2 linked regions of the Arabidopsis thaliana genome follow. The protein of the gene in region 1 interacts with the protein of each later gene in a pairwise test. Each region holds a gene or a part of one and is shown in the gene's direction. Other genes may lie near its edges.

Region 1 (3,893 bases):
CTTTCAACTATACAAGATTGGTCCCTTTTCTTCTCTTACCATAATTATGACGCACGTGAATGTGTGTGTAAATACTTTGACGTTTACATTGAAATACTGTAATGTAAGTTCAGAGTTAAAAGTACAAACACAAAGGTGAATTTTGTACTAATTAGTAAAGAGATAAGAGTGTTTTGAATCTTGAATATCAAATTATTATTAACAAGAAACTGACAAAAAGATGAGACAGTGTTCATTGAGAAGATCTCTGTTGTTTTATCTTTTTTTTTACATTTCTTGGAAATTGGCAAAACCAGTGTGATGAAACTGTGAAATCTTATCTCGAACCCAATCATTGTTCTATGTTTTTCTTTAATCTCTAAAAGTGAAAAAGTGAATGCATGAAACGTTCAGATACATTCATTATATTATACATTTATACATATGGACATGGTGTACGTATGTACACGGGTGCTTGTTTGATCACGGGCTCACTGACTATAAAAATCATGTTTTTTGGGACATATAGATTCGCTTACATCAACTGTGTGACCAATGGGGTATCTGAATTCAGCTTGTTCGATGTTTTGTTTGACTCTTTTAAACTATTTGGTAGTAAAAAGCCAAAAAGGAAGAGCACTGATTACGAAAGCCTTTTTGTCTTTTTGTTTCTTCTTCTCTAGCTCTCTTTCGTTCTCCTTTTGGGTTAGTCCTTCAAAATAAATGTCTTTAACTTGTCATGTATAGTTTCTTTCTCTCGTTGAACACCAACCATAGGCCTTGCAATGTGAGTCAAAACATGCATTGAAAAAAGAAGTGAATTTCAACATTAAATGCTCTCGTTTAACATGCCTATGGTTCCATTAAGCAAAGTACACACTCTATATATGTCGAAAGAACTATACAGTCGGTGTTTTAGCCCTATAGTTAGATACATTCGAACTGATTACAGAAATATCAAATATCCAGTTCTAAGATCGGATTAAGGCAAATACATTTAAACTACTTCTAGCGAATGAGGTTCACATAGAAAAACTTTTTAAAATGAATCACTAAACAAGATTCATTTTCTTTCTAAATAGTGTAAAGACGAGTGATGCATGCAACTGCTCTCCTTTCCGTTGGTCCCTTGTCAAAATATACGACCGTGAATAATTCTTCCCATCATATTTATCTGTCGGAGAGTTCCAACCTCAAAACATTCTCCTTCTCTTATCAATTCTTTCTAAAATCATAAACCAACAAACTGGGCCTATGATCAATTATTCATATTCAATTTAGCCTATAACTAAAACCACACTGCTTTCGTTACACTGGCCTTCCGACAAGTCTCTTTGACTGTTTTTATCTTAAGCGCCATCAAGTTTTAAAGAAGACAACCCCATATCTTTCCTCCCATGAATCATCGTGTCCATATTGCTATAGTTCATGAAAAAACTAAATACTATCGACAACTGAAGAAAAGATCCGGATCTTGTGGACCGAGTGAATGGTTGGGCCCAATTAGAATGGTCTACCCTAACATCTAGCCGTCTACACGATTGATCATACGTCTAAGAGGGCGAAACCACCAAACGTTTGGATTTTATCTAAATTGATGTACATAAAGCTAACATGATTTTAGTATAAACATTATAAGCATCATGGAAATCAATAAGCTAACATGATTTTAGTAGAAACATTATCAGCTAACATGAATTACTAAAAACATTTATTTTATTTTAAGGAAAAACATACAATACTAAGATTTTTTATAACATTTTTTCTTTGTAACATTATAAATTGTTTTAGTTTCTACATTAATTAAATATATAAAATAAATTCATTTAAATAATATAAGAAAACGGAATCTTTGATTAACTGCTGATTATTGGCCACTGATTAATTTCCGACCCCATCAATAGATGAGATCAGACATACACAACTTAAGTAGACCAAAAAAGCGGTTGGTGTAAGATCCCAAACTCACAGATTCCCAAATAATAGTAATACTCTTCCTCTTCTCAACTCTCACCAGTCACCAGCAGATCATCGGAGATGGGCGGAGACGGAAAAGTTTTCACCTTGTCCGAGGTTTCTCAGCACAGTAGCGCCAAGGATTGTTGGATCGTCATCGACGGCAAGGTCCTACATCTCCGATCCCAGTTTCTCATTCGATTTTCCGTTTTCCCTTAGATTTTGCATCTTATCTTCGTGAGATCCGAAATTCTTGAGTTGTGTTGACTTGGATTTATAAATCTAGAGTTATGTAGTAACAAGTTTGGGGATAGATCTGATCTGATTTGCTAGATTAATGTTACTTTTCTAAGTCTAAATCACAGAGAAATTGCTAAAAACTTACGTCTTTATAATTGAATGTGATAGTTGGTGCTGCTTAAGATGTCTCTGTGTGATCTTGTATCTGTAGTTAAAGCTAGTAAGGTTCATGTAGTTCATGTATGTTCTGATGTATGAACTTTTGATAACCCACTTAATCTAGGTCTCTGATTGTGTGGAATTAGGGACTTATATGACAAAGTTTACATTTTTTGTGTGTTTCATTTTGATGGTTATATATAGGTTTATGATGTGACAAAGTTCTTGGATGATCATCCTGGTGGTGATGAGGTTATCTTGACTTCTACAGGTAACATATAGAGATCACTTTCTCTGTTTGTTAGTTCATGTTTATGTTAACAAGAATGTGTTGTTGGTATTCAGGGAAAGATGCGACCGATGATTTCGAGGATGTGGGACATAGTTCGACTGCGAAAGCCATGCTAGATGAGTACTATGTGGGTGATATTGACACAGCTACTGTGCCGGTTAAAGCTAAGTTTGTGCCTCCTACGTCGACGAAAGCCGTGGCTACTCAGGATAAGAGCTCGGATTTTGTTATTAAGCTCCTTCAGTTCCTTGTTCCACTTCTAATCTTAGGCTTGGCTTTCGGCATTCGGTACTACACTAAGACCAAGGCTCCTTCTTCTTGAAAGATTGAATTGTGGCCTAAGTGAATTGCTTGTGTACGACGTGGTTAAACTCTGTCTCTACCTCTGTTTGTCTTGTAAGACATCATTATATTCTCTATTCCAATCAACTGATAGACCTTTGATTTTTAAGCCATCTACCTTTGTTGTCTTATATCAATCAAATCCATTTACAATATCACTCACACACCAGTCTCAAGTCTCACTTAAAAAGCAGCAACAGGTAAGAGAAAATGATAAACACTGAGCTAATCTGTGCTTGCGCAAGTTCTCTCCATCAGTACCTTTGAATCTGTTCTGAAAGACTGCTTTGATGGAGAGCTTGATCCTCTTGAAGAGCTATGCCCAAAGAAGCTAAGTTTCCCCATTTTCTTTGAGAAACTGCTCATGAATTTGCGCGAATGAGACCTCTGCATATCTCTCTTCATACATATATGTTCTTTCTCTAGGTCGTTGAGTCTCATTCTCAACCTAGCTAACTCGAGCTTCAGTTCTCGGTTTTCTCTCCTCAGAGACGCATAGTTGTCTTTGGGGGACATTGTTGCACTGAGAGCTCCGCTATTGATTCTCCATGACTGCTGTTGTTGCTGCTTTGGCTTTGGCTCTTCGTCTGAGTAAGAAGAGCACAAGGAGCTTCGAAGCTTGAGTTGCTCAAAGTAGAGAACTTGAACTATGGATTGCAGAGGAAGCCGCTCGTTTTGTGCAGCGTGTGCTCCAGCTTCTTGTGAGAGTTTCTGGAAGTCAATAAGTTTTGATAGTTTCTTCTTGTCTGAATCTGATAACCCTTGATGTGCCTAAGAGCATAAAACCTAATAAGTATCAAGTCACAACAAGAGTAAGTAAAATTTTCTTGTAGCAACATACCTTAAGATAGAGATCAATGGCGCGGTATAAACCATCGTGAAGGGTGCGAGCATGAGGCGGTAAGGCTTCTGCGATAAGCAAGAA
Region 2 (4,209 bases), on another chromosome or scaffold:
TCAGCATCCAAGTCCCTCCTCGTGGTGGAATCAATATCAGCAGCACCTTCTCCGCTTTCGGTTCCCCACATATTCATCTTCTCAAACGCTCTATCTACACCCACACTTACCCTCCCGTCAACAGACATCCTCCTCGGTTTCTCGACACGTTTGGAAGAGTTCCAAACAGATAGCTTTTTCTGTGAAGGCAACACAGGAACTCTCTCTCCGCTGCAGATCTTGTACTCACTCAGATTAGTAAACACGTCTTTAGGATCCCATTCAGGACTCCCGTCGTCTCCTGATGGATAATAAGTACCGTTCATCTCTTCCGGATCATTAGACCAATGACCAACGTAGAAACTCCCATCAGCCCATTTGAAAGTACCGTTTCCTCTAGGAAAACCGTCATCCCAAAATCCGTCGTATCTATTCCCATCCGTCCAAATAAAAGTACCTTTGCCACAGATCGTAGCGTTCTTCCATTCCCCCATGTAATAGCTCCCATCTCTCCACTGATACTTTCCTTGGGCTTCTTGCAAACCCCTCCTCCATTCACCATCATACACATCTCCATTCGCGAAACGCTTGATTCCATGTCCATGTTTCAGGTTCATCACCCACTGACCTTTATAAGTATCTCCACTAGGACCTGTGTAAAGGCCAACACCATCCATGTATCCACTTTTGAATTCGCCTTCATATGTGGCACCAGAAGGCCACCCGAACTTCCCTCTTCCCATAGTCTTCCCGTTGTACCAGTCACCAATGTACATGCAACCATCTGTCCAAAGATACTTCCCATGCCCGTGAGGAAAACTATCATACCATTGCCCTGTATAATAGTCTCCATTAGGAAGTATTCTCTCTGCATGGTACAATTCCCCTATGCTGCTTCTGTTAGTGCTGGTCTCATCATCATTCTCCTCAGTCGTAGTAGTAGCATCATCATCTGTCTGTGGAGCTACAGATACCGTCCCAAAAATGCTGTTTGCACGCTTCTTCGCTTGTTGGGTCTTTCTTACGGTCACCTCCCAAGCCTTTAGAACACAGCTTTGTTCCTTGCTCATCTTCTTAAACTAATAAAACTTTTCTCTAAGATACCTATATGTATATCCTAGAACATAAACTCAGAAAACATATTTGTTCTTGTCTAAACAACAATCCTATCAATGTACACATACACAAGAGAAAACCATGAACTCTGTGCAAAAGAAAAAACAAAGTGTAAACCTAAAACCATTAAATCAAACGCAGCATGAAGAAATCTGCAATGGTCTTTACTCTGTGACTTCCTGTCTCTATGCCATTGAATCACAAGAAAAAAGAATGTTTTTTGGTCTTTTAGAATGCAACATTTTCGGAGTGAAAGCTGATATGAACAATCATGGAAACCTAACAAAGAATCAGAGAGAGAGAAAAACCAATGGCCAAAAGAGTTAAGGGATCAAAAAAATTCTCTCCGACATTTCATCTTTTCTTGTCAATTCATCTTAACTAATTATGTCGTTCAAAGAAGAAACCGTTCATCTCCTCAAACCAATGAAAGCCTTCAAATTTAGAGAAACAAGCATGACCCATTTTTCTCTATTCTTAGCATCTCCGAGCTTTCCTCTCATAAACAAACATATTTTCTTCAGAACAAAAAAAATCGGAAAAAGTAATAATTAATCAATTTAGCCAAGACTGATAACGTCTCCAATCTGAGATCACTAAGAGCTATAATCAAAAACAGAGGTAACTGAAACTCTAACTCACTGAGGCATTCTGTCGAACACTTTAAACGCATTGCTTCTCCACTAACAAGTCACATTTTTCCGTATATTCACAACTTATTTTCAAAAGGAAAGATCCATTCCCAATGCTGAAGCTTCAAACACCATAAACGATAGAAGAGAGACAAAAGTTACAACCCAAAGCCAAGCGTGTAAAGATCAAAAGGTCATATTTTTCCTGAGGGGAAACTTCCGTCGCAGGTTAAAATTGGAGGGCTTTTTTGTAAACAATTCTTAAGAAGGCTAATTGTAGTAATTTATTTGTAATTATTAGTTAACTGTGTAAAGTAAATACTTTATCCAGTAATAACGTATCACTTTAGTTGATGTCTATTGGTTAATAGCCGAAGCTCGTTCCAAAATCGAAGAGAATCTATAATCTCATCACGACACACCAAAGCCAAAACCTTTATTGTCGGAAGCTGACTCAGACTCAAACAATGTCTCTAGCGTCAATTATATGCTAAATTCACCAGCCGCTTAGAGCCAATCATATAATCTCGATTCTCTTCAACGGTCCTCAATTATCCTAAATTCAGATCATAAAAACGCTAACTTTTAATTTCTTTCTTTCTGAGAAATTGGTTCTCATCGTTGGAATCGAAAAATGGGACGAATCGGTTTAGTAGTGACTGATCTGGTATTGTCGTTCATGTGGATATGGGCAGGAGTTCTGGTCAACATTTTAGTCCATGGAGTTCTTGGATTTAGCCGGACCGATCCTTCCGGTGAGATCGTTCGTTATCTCTTCTCTATCATCTCCATGTTCATCTTCGCCTACCTTCAACAAGCCACCAAAGGCGGGCTTTATAATCCTTTGACCGCTTTGGCTGCTGGAGTCTCCGGTGGCTTCAGCAGTTTCATCTTCTCCGTCTTCGTTCGAATCCCCGTCGAGGTTTGTTTCGTTGACTTTTTTTGGTTTAATTGAAATTGACTCTTCGTTAGAGAGAGGTCTCAGGGTTTGTGTAATGTTGTAAAATGTCAAATTAGAGAAAAAAAAGGAGAATTTAGCTGATGGGTTCTTCTTTGAAAACCAGATCATTTTGGTTATATGCTCTATTGTTTTATAAAGACTTCATCTTGAAGATCTTTTGCTCTAATGTGTAATCAAAGATGATACTATTGTGAAACTCTGGTTTTGTGTTATTTCAGGTAATAGGATCAATTCTTGCGGTTAAGCATATCATTCACGTATTCCCTGAGATTGGGAAAGGACCTAAACTAAATGTAGCAATTCACCACGGTGCTTTAACAGAAGGGATACTAACATTCTTCATTGTACTGCTCTCAATGGGACTAACAAGAAAAATCCCGGGAAGTTTCTTCATGAAGACTTGGATCGGTAGTCTTGCTAAGTTAACTCTTCATATTCTTGGCTCTGATCTTACCGGTGGATGCATGAACCCTGCAGCTGTATGTACCAAAAAAAAGTCTTGTGATTGTGATTTCAGCAAATAGCGATCTTTGTTTTGAATGTTTGCTTTTGTGTGAATCTTTGCAGGTTATGGGATGGGCTTATGCACGCGGTGAACATATAACGAAAGAGCATTTACTTGTGTATTGGCTTGGACCTGTGAAGGCTACGTTGCTTGCAGTTTGGTTCTTCAAAGTTGTGTTTAAGCCTCTCACCGAAGAACAAGAGAAACCTAAGGCCAAATCTGAGTGAGGAATGAGGAATGAGCTCAGCTTTCATATTTAATCCTCTCTGGATAAATCTCCTTTACACAAGACACAGAGGGTAGGATTGTTTCCAGGGATATTTTCGTAGATTTTGTAATGTGTTTTTTTTTTATGTTGCAAACTCAACTGTATCAACCAGTTCAATAAAATCTGAAATTTAAGTAAGTCCAATGCGCAATATGATCAAATATATGCAGTAAAAGTTTATTGCAAAAAAAAAAAGACGATGTTTCTCAGTTTCGATCATTCAATTACAAGAAATCAAGAACCAGCCGTAAACTCAAGACTTGACATTGCAGCTACTAATAGACAAGATTAGGCTCAAACTCGGCGAAATCAACAGAGCCAGACTCAACAGGAGGCATGAGATAAGCAGCCAAGATCTCAGAGGCTAAAGAAGTAACCAAAGGAATCCTCTTGAGGGTCTTGATGAAGGAAGCATCATCTGTTTCTCCTATAGCCAGCAGCTTCTCATAGCTCACAACCATTCTATCCAGTTTCCTCTTGAACTCAGGGTTCTCAACATCCAGCACCGCAGGGAATATTCTTGCCGTGGTTCGGTTTGTCTGAAACAAATCTCAACATTTTCAGAAAAAGGAACATAACACAGGTTAATATTAATCTTCTTGTTTCAAGTTCCTTTACCTCGATGATGACATGCATATCGAACTCCTTTGTGTTTAACCCGATACCCTCGTAGAAATTAGTTCTTTGGCAGTCATTGAGGTACATTGTCACATAAACCTGTAAAGCCAATCCTCTTACTGGTTAGGCC

Evidence for each region.
Region 2: the proteins of CB5-D (region 1) and SIP2;1 interact in a two-hybrid assay, tested with the Arabidopsis thaliana proteins (one large-scale study listed by BioGRID).

What each region holds. Positions count from the first base shown.
Region 1 is NC_003076.8:19,788,304-19,792,196, reverse strand, and holds CB5-D (cytochrome B5), read left to right. Parts: upstream 1-1,824; 5' UTR 1,825-2,016; coding exon 2,017-2,103; exon of another isoform or gene 2,104-2,538; coding exon 2,539-2,605; intron 2,606-2,679; coding exon 2,680-2,948; 3' UTR 2,949-3,130; downstream 3,131-3,893. Other genes in the region: AT5G48800 (Phototropic-responsive NPH3 family protein), read right to left, coding at 3,194-3,739, 3,810-3,893. UniProt on the Arabidopsis thaliana protein: Membrane bound hemoprotein which function as an electron carrier for several membrane bound oxygenases, including fatty acid desaturases.
Region 2 is NC_003074.8:21,077,797-21,082,005, reverse strand, and holds SIP2;1 (small and basic intrinsic protein 2;1), read left to right. Parts: upstream 1-2,149; 5' UTR 2,150-2,361; coding exon 2,362-2,649; exon of another isoform or gene 2,650-2,831; intron 2,832-2,906; coding exon 2,907-3,167; intron 3,168-3,255; coding exon 3,256-3,416; coding exon of another isoform or gene 3,417-3,420; exon of another isoform or gene 3,421-3,522; coding exon 3,523-3,595; 3' UTR 3,596-3,709; downstream 3,710-4,209. Other genes in the region: PIP5K4 (phosphatidyl inositol monophosphate 5 kinase 4), read right to left, coding at 1-1,049; CRD1 (dicarboxylate diiron protein, putative (Crd1)), read right to left, coding at 3,737-4,000, 4,080-4,178. UniProt on the Arabidopsis thaliana protein: Water channel required to facilitate the transport of water across cell membrane. Inactive in yeast cells.